Oryzias latipes: one gene and its partner. The protein of the gene in region 1 interacts with the protein of each later gene in a pairwise test. Links are inferred from orthologs where the notes say so. Each region holds a gene or a part of one and is shown in the gene's direction. Other genes may lie near its edges.

Evidence for each region.
Region 2: the proteins of dusp12 (region 1) and serine/threonine-protein phosphatase 2A regulatory subunit B'' subunit beta interact in binary tests that used the Homo sapiens proteins (3 or more experiments, as listed by UniProt). The two-hybrid records come from large-scale screens. The link is inferred for Oryzias latipes from reciprocal best matches to the Homo sapiens genes DUSP12 and PPP2R3B.

What each region holds. Positions count from the first base shown.
Region 1 is NC_019875.2:21,143,540-21,147,491, forward strand, and holds the start of dusp12 (dual specificity protein phosphatase 12), read left to right. Parts: upstream 1-1,152; 5' UTR 1,153-1,312; intron 1,313-1,372; exon of another isoform or gene 1,373-1,430; intron 1,431-2,257; 5' UTR 2,258-2,259; coding exon 2,260-2,522; intron 2,523-2,697; coding exon 2,698-2,811; intron 2,812-3,585; coding exon 3,586-3,704; intron 3,705-3,791; coding exon 3,792-3,879; intron 3,880-3,952. UniProt on the Homo sapiens protein: Dual specificity phosphatase; can dephosphorylate both phosphotyrosine and phosphoserine or phosphothreonine residues. Can dephosphorylate glucokinase (in vitro).
Region 2 is NC_019879.2:6,992,253-6,996,314, reverse strand, and holds the start of serine/threonine-protein phosphatase 2A regulatory subunit B'' subunit beta, read left to right. Parts: upstream 1-1,262; 5' UTR 1,263-1,440; intron 1,441-1,980; 5' UTR 1,981-2,012; coding exon 2,013-2,366; intron 2,367-4,062. UniProt on the Homo sapiens protein: The B regulatory subunit might modulate substrate selectivity and catalytic activity, and might also direct the localization of the catalytic enzyme to a particular subcellular compartment.

The sequences.
Region 1 (3,952 bases):
GCCATAAGAAAACATGGAAACTCCACAAAGAAAGGTCCCAGCCAGGATTCAAACTAGGGCCTTCTCTCTGGGAAATATTATTTTCTCTTCTTTTATTGTTATCGTATTTTAATAATTGCAATAAAAATTGTAATTTAAAACAAAAACTAACACCAGCAACCATTTGGTCAATGACTGAATGTTTTTGGATCAGTAACATCCAGGTGCACATTAGGGGTCAATCTGCTCTCCTTAATACCTGCTCAGACCCATCCCAAATCATTCCATACATGATAACCTTTCACTCATAAAAAAAGCCCCATCACAACACATTATTTCACACATTATTTCACTGTGGTAATCAAGTCAAGTCTGACTGACACAAATACAACAATAGGCTTTATTGAATCTACATTCTCAGTATATGCTGTCAATTGGAATCCTAAAAACTATTGCTTTTAATACACGCTTAACAAAATATAATATGGTTGGAAAACTCTGTTTTTTTTATGTAAATGTCTGCAGGACATCAGTGTGTGTAAAAAATGTTATTGATTTCTTAAAATAGGCCCAAATTTTATAGAGTTCTTCAGATTTTACATTACTACAGAACAAAAAATTTCTTCCCAGTAGAAAATCTATGTTTGCCATATGAGCAAAATGTGTGTGTTTAGTTGTGTGAGTCTGCTTCAATGATGAGTTAAACTATTTGAAAAAAAACACCTTAAATGGGAAAAGCTCTGTCTCTGAATCTCTTTTCGTGTTGGTTACATATTTATGACAAAATTCTGCTACAAAAAAGTTGAAAACAGAAATAGAAAAGGCAAAATTAAGTTTTAAGACTCAGATTGATGCTAGGCAAACTTTATTAAACAGTTCCCTGATCACTTAAAACTTTTCTGATCAGAGAGAGCTGTTTTTTTGGGCTCACGAAAGCTTCAGACATGACCCCTTATTAAGTTGTTGCTGCATGCATTATATGAATCTTTGGGTTTGGGAAATTACATGGTTATTATAAATAAAAATTTGTAAAAAATTAGAGCAAGAGGAGTAGGTCATGACATTATTTTTGTTTTAGTAAAAATATCAAACCTTCCAGCAGAACACAAAAAACACGTGTTGGTGCGATCATCATCAGCGGAACTATAAAATGATGTCGTGTTTCCTCCCTACAGCTTTAAGAGACGAACAAAAACACCAGTCCCGTTGGTGCTCACGCCTTTAGGGTCCGTCTTAAAGTTAGTTTTTGTGTGTTTTGCACGTTTGATGCTTTGAGGTTTGAAGCAGCCAAAATTTGCAGGAAGGAAAGAAACGACATACTCAAGTAAATGAGGTTAGTTAACGAGTTTAGTTAACGGAGTTAGTTAACTGCGAGGCTGGCTGTCACAGCACCACGGTGTTATGTGCACGCGTGTTTAGCAGCAGGGCGTTGCTGTTTGGTAAGAAATCAGGTAATTGTCTTGGTATGTGACCCGAGAAGGCTGGGTTACATTAAGCCTAAATTAAAGATGAAGATGGAAGCTCGGTGATGCCATTTAAATCCGTATTGCTCTGTGGTCAGAGAACCAGTCACACATTTGAGTGTTACACTGTAGTTTTTATAATTATCACAACAAAATGTGATACTTGTAAAAATTAAAGGAAAAGTAAAAATTGGAAAGACATTTAACGTGGAAGATGCTGCGTTTTTTTTAAAAGTTGAAATAGTGAACATAAGGAGGGAGGGAGGGAGGGGGGGATGAACATATAAAAATCTTCAAATAAACATATTTTAGTGACGTCACACCCCCTTATTTAAGTAATTAAAAGAAGAAGAATAAGCATATTTGCCATAAAATGTGTTATGACTTTATTAACATACACACTAATTCCATAATACAGTTCACAGACAGCAGTAAGTAGTAAGACGTTCAATCCTCTTCACTCACTCTGTATCCTTAGATTTTTTAATTATTTATAGTGAGGAATGTTTTTGTTTCATAGAGACGTTTTACAAATACTTTTATTACTATATGTAAGCAAAGAAAACAAAATATCATGTTTTTTCACTTTGCTTTTCATTTAAACAAATGAGATGCTTTGTGAAAGGCCAGAAAGTTCTGTGTAGCTAAAATGATTCTACCTGGAAATGAATGGGCCAGTTTCAATATCTCAATAATTCCGCAGATCAAACTGATCAGATGGTCTGCTCCACAACTCTTCCTGTGCTCAGTAATATTGAGGACTTTTCTTCATTTTTCTCTTTACTTTCCTTTAATCCCTGTGTGTTTTTCTGAAGTCATGCTGCTCGTAGATCCAGGAGTGTACATCGGCACTGCAGCTGACCTGAACGACTGCCAGGCGCTCGCTGCAGCTTCGGTCACCCACATCCTGTCTGTGGAATCTGTGGATCCTGGTCCACAGATTCCTGCCACAGGAAACTTCATCAGAAAGTGGATCAATGCTTTAGATGAAGAGACGACTGATCTGCTCAGTTACTTGGACGCCTGCAACATATTCATTGATGAGGCTGTAAAAGGGGGCGGAGCTACACTGGTTCACTGGTAAGAGTCAAATATGGCTTCATTATTCCTTTCTGTGTTTTCCACGCATTCCATCCTTGAATTTATGCAACCATGTGCAATCTGAATCCATTTTGGTGCATGATGACACGACATATAAAAGCACAAAATGCAGAAGGACAACGCTTATTTAAAAACTATTTTTTGTGCACATTAGTCATGCAGGTCGAAGCCGCAGCGCCACCATTGTGACTGCATATTTAATGAAGAAACACCATCTGGCCTTCCCTGAAGCTTACCAAAGACTGAAAAGTGTCAAACAAGATGTTCAGTAAGTATTTGTCATTCCCTTCTCTCCCAGTATGTCTTCTGTTTGTGTTAAGGGTATTTCAAAATTGGCTAGGTCAGTTTGTCAGCATTGTAGGTAAGCAATTGGCTGTGAAAAAAAAGTTTTTCATGTTTCTGTCAATATATTTTTGGAAATTACAGTTAAAAAAAATTCTAAAAGTGCTTCTAGTGGGCTGCTCATTAATAAAAATATTAATTAAACCTATATCAAATGTGGGGGTTCATAAACTCAGCTTTTTTTTTGCTATTAAAGAAAGCTTAACTTCTGTTGAATACATCTTCTGTCACTTTATCACAACAAATGTCAGCAAAAAAAAAGAAAAAGATTTTAGAAGGAGCATGTAGAGAGGAAATCTTTGTCCCATCTGTCTCTTGATTGGCTATGACATATTTTCCTTTGTGGCTGATTTGCCTCCAACATCTACTTTTCAGAAAACTGAAGACTTGAACTGCATTTTCACCAGAAGTGAACATTGAAAAAAGACTGAAGCTTTTATTTAGAAACATAACAGACGTTGAAAGTCAATGTACATGAAAAAAATCAGTTGTTATAAACCTGATAAAGGAATATAGAAGTAAAGCAGGGTAAAAGATTTTATGGGGACTATTTCCATGATTTTTTTTTATCATTTCAGAAAAACAAGTTTAAAAAAATCTTAATAAGTGCATTGTCATGTATACACCAGCAAAAGGTAAAACTGTATTTAAAACAAGAGCTTAAAAGATAACATTTGTTTTTTTTTTGGGTGTGTTTCAGGGTCAACAGGGGTTTTGAAGAGCAGCTGCAGCTGTATGAGTCCATGCTATGTCAGGTGGACACATCTAGTGCTTTGTACAAACAATACAGGCTGAACAAGATTGCAGAGAGATATCCAGGTGAAAGCAAAGCTTTGCTGCTGTGGATGAACACCAGGAGGGAATTCCTTTCCCAACTTTTGTTTCTTATTATTTGTGTATAAGCAGAGTTGCAGCAAGTCCCAAGAGATATTTTTGCTAATGACCCCGCCCACTCCAGCTCCTCCGAGGTGTCATACAGATGCCGGAAGTGCAGGTGAATTGCTTAGAAATATTAGATATGGTAATTAGTGGCTAAATTTTCTTTAGCATAAAAATCTTATTTTTTT
Region 2 (4,062 bases), on another chromosome or scaffold:
CAATGAGTTGTTGTGCCAAAGCAGTAAGGATAATGTTCATAACCATTATAAAATGCAACATACAAAATAGCTTCATGACTTCTGCCCAAAAGAAAAAGAGCAACAAAAAAATGGAAAAAGAAAACATATATGGGCGTCAGGAGCACCAGACTACACAACACAAACATTTGTGATATTTATACTACCTGAAAAGAGCGTCAACTCATTTAAATGATGTAGGCCGATTCCAAAACACTAATGTGTTTCTGTTTCAGCTATTTGAAGGCAAAAGTAGGTTAAAAAATGTGGGAAAGTCAAAATCGGAATAAGTCCTCCATAACTATATGAGAAACTGGTGTCATATAACTTTGCAAAAAGAGGCAAACTTGAAGTTTATTTTATTAATACTTGGTAAATGGTAAATGGCGTATACTTATATAGCGCCTTTCTTCCTACAAGGACAAAGCGCTTTACAGTCACAGACCCATTCACCCAGTCACACACACATTCACACACTGGTGGTCGCTCCGCTGCCAAACACAGGCGCCCGCCTACCACCAGAGGCAAGGTGGGGTTCAGTGTCTTGCCCAAGGACACTTCGACTCATGGGCGTGCAAGGCGGGAATCGAACCTGCAACCTTACGATCATGGGACGACCGCCCTACCGCTGCACCACGCCGCCACTTGAGTATAGTAAGTCTACTATAAACCATACGTGTAGTGTAGATAGTATGGCCTACTACTAATACTATTTAGTAATACTTCTTCATACTTCTTCAGACTAAATTGGAACATTTCATTTTAACTTTACAATATAGATAGTATAAAAAGTCAACTTCAAGTATACTGCCTCACTTTTAGTATCTGACAAAGTATACTAGTAGTACACTTAAACAGACAAGTATGAATAAGACTAAGTGTACATCATTCTTTTTATGTGACTGTGAATGTAGCATTAAGCAGAACTAATGGTTTATTTTTTTTAACCATATAAAATCTTTAACATTGAATTTACAATTGTATGTAACGTTTCAGTATTGTTTACTTAGTTGTGTGGTAGGGGTAAATGTACAACTACTCCAAAAAAGAAAAACGAATATCTTTATGCACTTTCAACATGGAAAAGAATTAAAACCTTAAAGATAAAAACCAAATTTTCCACATTTTAATTGTGAAAAGGCTGACTTTTGACTAATCCCCCGGCCCCTATTTATTTTTCTACCCGTTTTCCCTCCTTTCCTGTTGGTAAGGAAAGTCTCGCGATAACAGCCTGTGGTTACTAGAGGAGCGTGAGTTCAAAAAGTTGTTTGCTGTGTTTCATTCAGATATGCCGAAACGGCAAGCGAGTAGTCACAATTGTGTTTTTTTATTCAGTCCCACAGACAAACTTTAGCGTCCCGTATGAAGGAAAACTGACGGGATGACTTGTCAACACATCTGGAGTTGCCTAATAATCGCGAGGTTTGTATATTAATAAGTCAGTTGTCATTAGCCCGCCTTAGCTCTTTTGCTAGCACCGTTGTTCTTTTCTAAGCCTCGTTTGACAACATTAAAATGAAATGCTAATAATGGCTACTCTTTATTATGAACTGAGATCATTTTAGGTTATTTTTATTTGATAAACCCTCAAGTTCTGTAGATATATTCTGTGTAGCCAGAAGTGAAATGTATTATTTGGGTCAAATTATATTCACATTGATTTACTTTTGCCCTTATGGGCTAACGCATCGATGAATTAGACTTCAATCATTCAATCATTTTAATGACTTCCTGCTTGACTATCAGACTTCACAGCAGATTTGACTCCCAAGCAGCTATTGCTAATGTTTTCCTGTCAGGATTTATTGCGGAAAAGATGGTACTTTCATTATAATCATGCCAGTAACAGTGTTTTAGCCAATTGGAGGCACAAACTTATCAAATGTTTCCTTAAACAAGCAACACGTCACTGGTCAGTGATGTAGTTAAGTGTTACTTGTTTTTGTTTGTTTGTTGACACAGGTACATTCGTCAAAGCTGAAAGCTTTATTAGCATGCCGCCTCCACAAGTCCTCCAACCGGTTCTCAAACTGAAGGTGGATGAGCTGTTCCTCAACTGGTTGAGCGATCCTGAAACTCAGCTGGTCCTCAAGGAATACCTTGACCAGATCAAAAATGGACAATATAGGAGCTCAGGCGGGGAGAACAGTCAGGCTGACAAGTCATTGAGCTTCAACGAAAACAACAACATTGCATCCCAGAAGAATCTGGTGGAGAAAAAGCCGGCTTCACTGGGCAACCCTTCCGGCTCCGCATCCAACAGTACCCTGCCATCCGGCAGTAACAGTAATTCCAGAGTACCAGGACCTGGTGGCAGATTACTACGCCGCTCCGTCAGCTCAAAGAAAGTAAGTCCTTTTTATGACGTAAGGCTATTAACACATCTGATGTTTAAAAACTACAATTACAATCAAGATTTGCCCTCACAGGAGCAACCTGAAACTAAAGAAAATACATAAAAACAAATGTTATCAAGAATTTTTAGTGTTAATAAGACATGGAAACAAAAAAAAAACCTCTAAATTCTGCAAATTCCTTAAATCGTAAATAATTAAATTTGCATAGTTTTCAAAGGTTCTGTGAAAAGTGATCAATAGTCAACTTTTACTTTTAGCCTTTTATTTAATTTATTAAAAAAATCTACAAGTACACAGTAAAGACAATTAAAGAAAAAAAAGTCAAGATTGTGTAACAACTTGTTCTCTTTTTGCCCATTCAAACATTTAAATTTACATTTAAAAAAGACCCTAACACGGGCATTGCTAGTTTAGTTTTTATTTAACATTTTTATATCATTTTTTTGTTGCATATTACTTTACATATACTTTTTTCACATATGTTCACTGCTATAGTGTAAAATCTTAATAACTGTCCTCCAGTTATTCATGTAGTGACATCATTACTAAAATTTCATGGAGGGTTCTTATTTTCTGATTGTTGGATCTTCACTTCCACTTAGCGGCCACAAGAGGCTGCTGAGAAGCCGACGACATGGAGAGGCTCTCCAGTCTCTGCTTTAAAAGCAGGGCCTCTTTATTTGTAGGCATGCGAGGGAAGTGCTTAGTTGTGTGTGGTTTCACATCCCGTCAACTAAGCATTCAGACCTCACCTACACATTTGAGTAATTTGAGAGTAAGGAGTGTCTGGACCCAGCCTATACCAGTTTTTCCTCAAGCTTGTTTTAGATCGTCTTTGCTTAAGACCTGTAGCCTTTATTAAAAGCAAACAACCTGTGCACAACAACTCAACAGCACGTCGGTAAATGTGTCGTCTGAAGGGATCATGCTGTTGTTTGTAACTGTGAACATTAGTGATGGTGATGACAGTGAGATAACCAGACAGCTGCGGGTAATGCGTGTGCTTCCGAAGACTCCTCCGTCCACATGTTGTTGACCCGCTAACCGTTGGCATGAGGAAACATTCAAGAATCAACTGGAATGCCTTCAGTAAAAACAAGAAATGTTTCAAATCTGTGCACATATGTATGTATTTCATCCTATACACTTTTTCCCCCATCTTAAATTAACAGGTTGTTAAAATTCTGTTACAAATTTAATTTAGAGAACATTGACTGGCAGGTTTATGCTGGATTAGAAATATAATTAAACATATTCATAAATTAAAAAAGAATGTTTGACGGGTTTTAAAATAAAAATAGCAACAAATATCACTTCAAATTAGTTTTTTAATAAATGCAAAATGATATCAAAAATGGGGAAATACTTTTAGTTTTTGTAATTTGACAAATAACTTGCCTTGTGTTGAGTAAAGATTTTGGGTAATATGTTACATATGTAAACAATAAAATATGGCTTACTTTGATATTTTTTAGGAGTTTTCCCCTTTTTCATAGTCTGTCTTTTATGTGTGAATTTACAAAATGCACGGGTCTACTTGTAAAAATGAAATTTCTTTTTATTCTTTTTCTTCGTAACTTTTGCCCCCAATGCCCTTTCTTGGACTAAAACAAGGCAGCGTTCAGACGGTTTTTGTATTCTGATGTGTCATGCTACGAACCGATGTTGTTGATATGAAACAGATTGT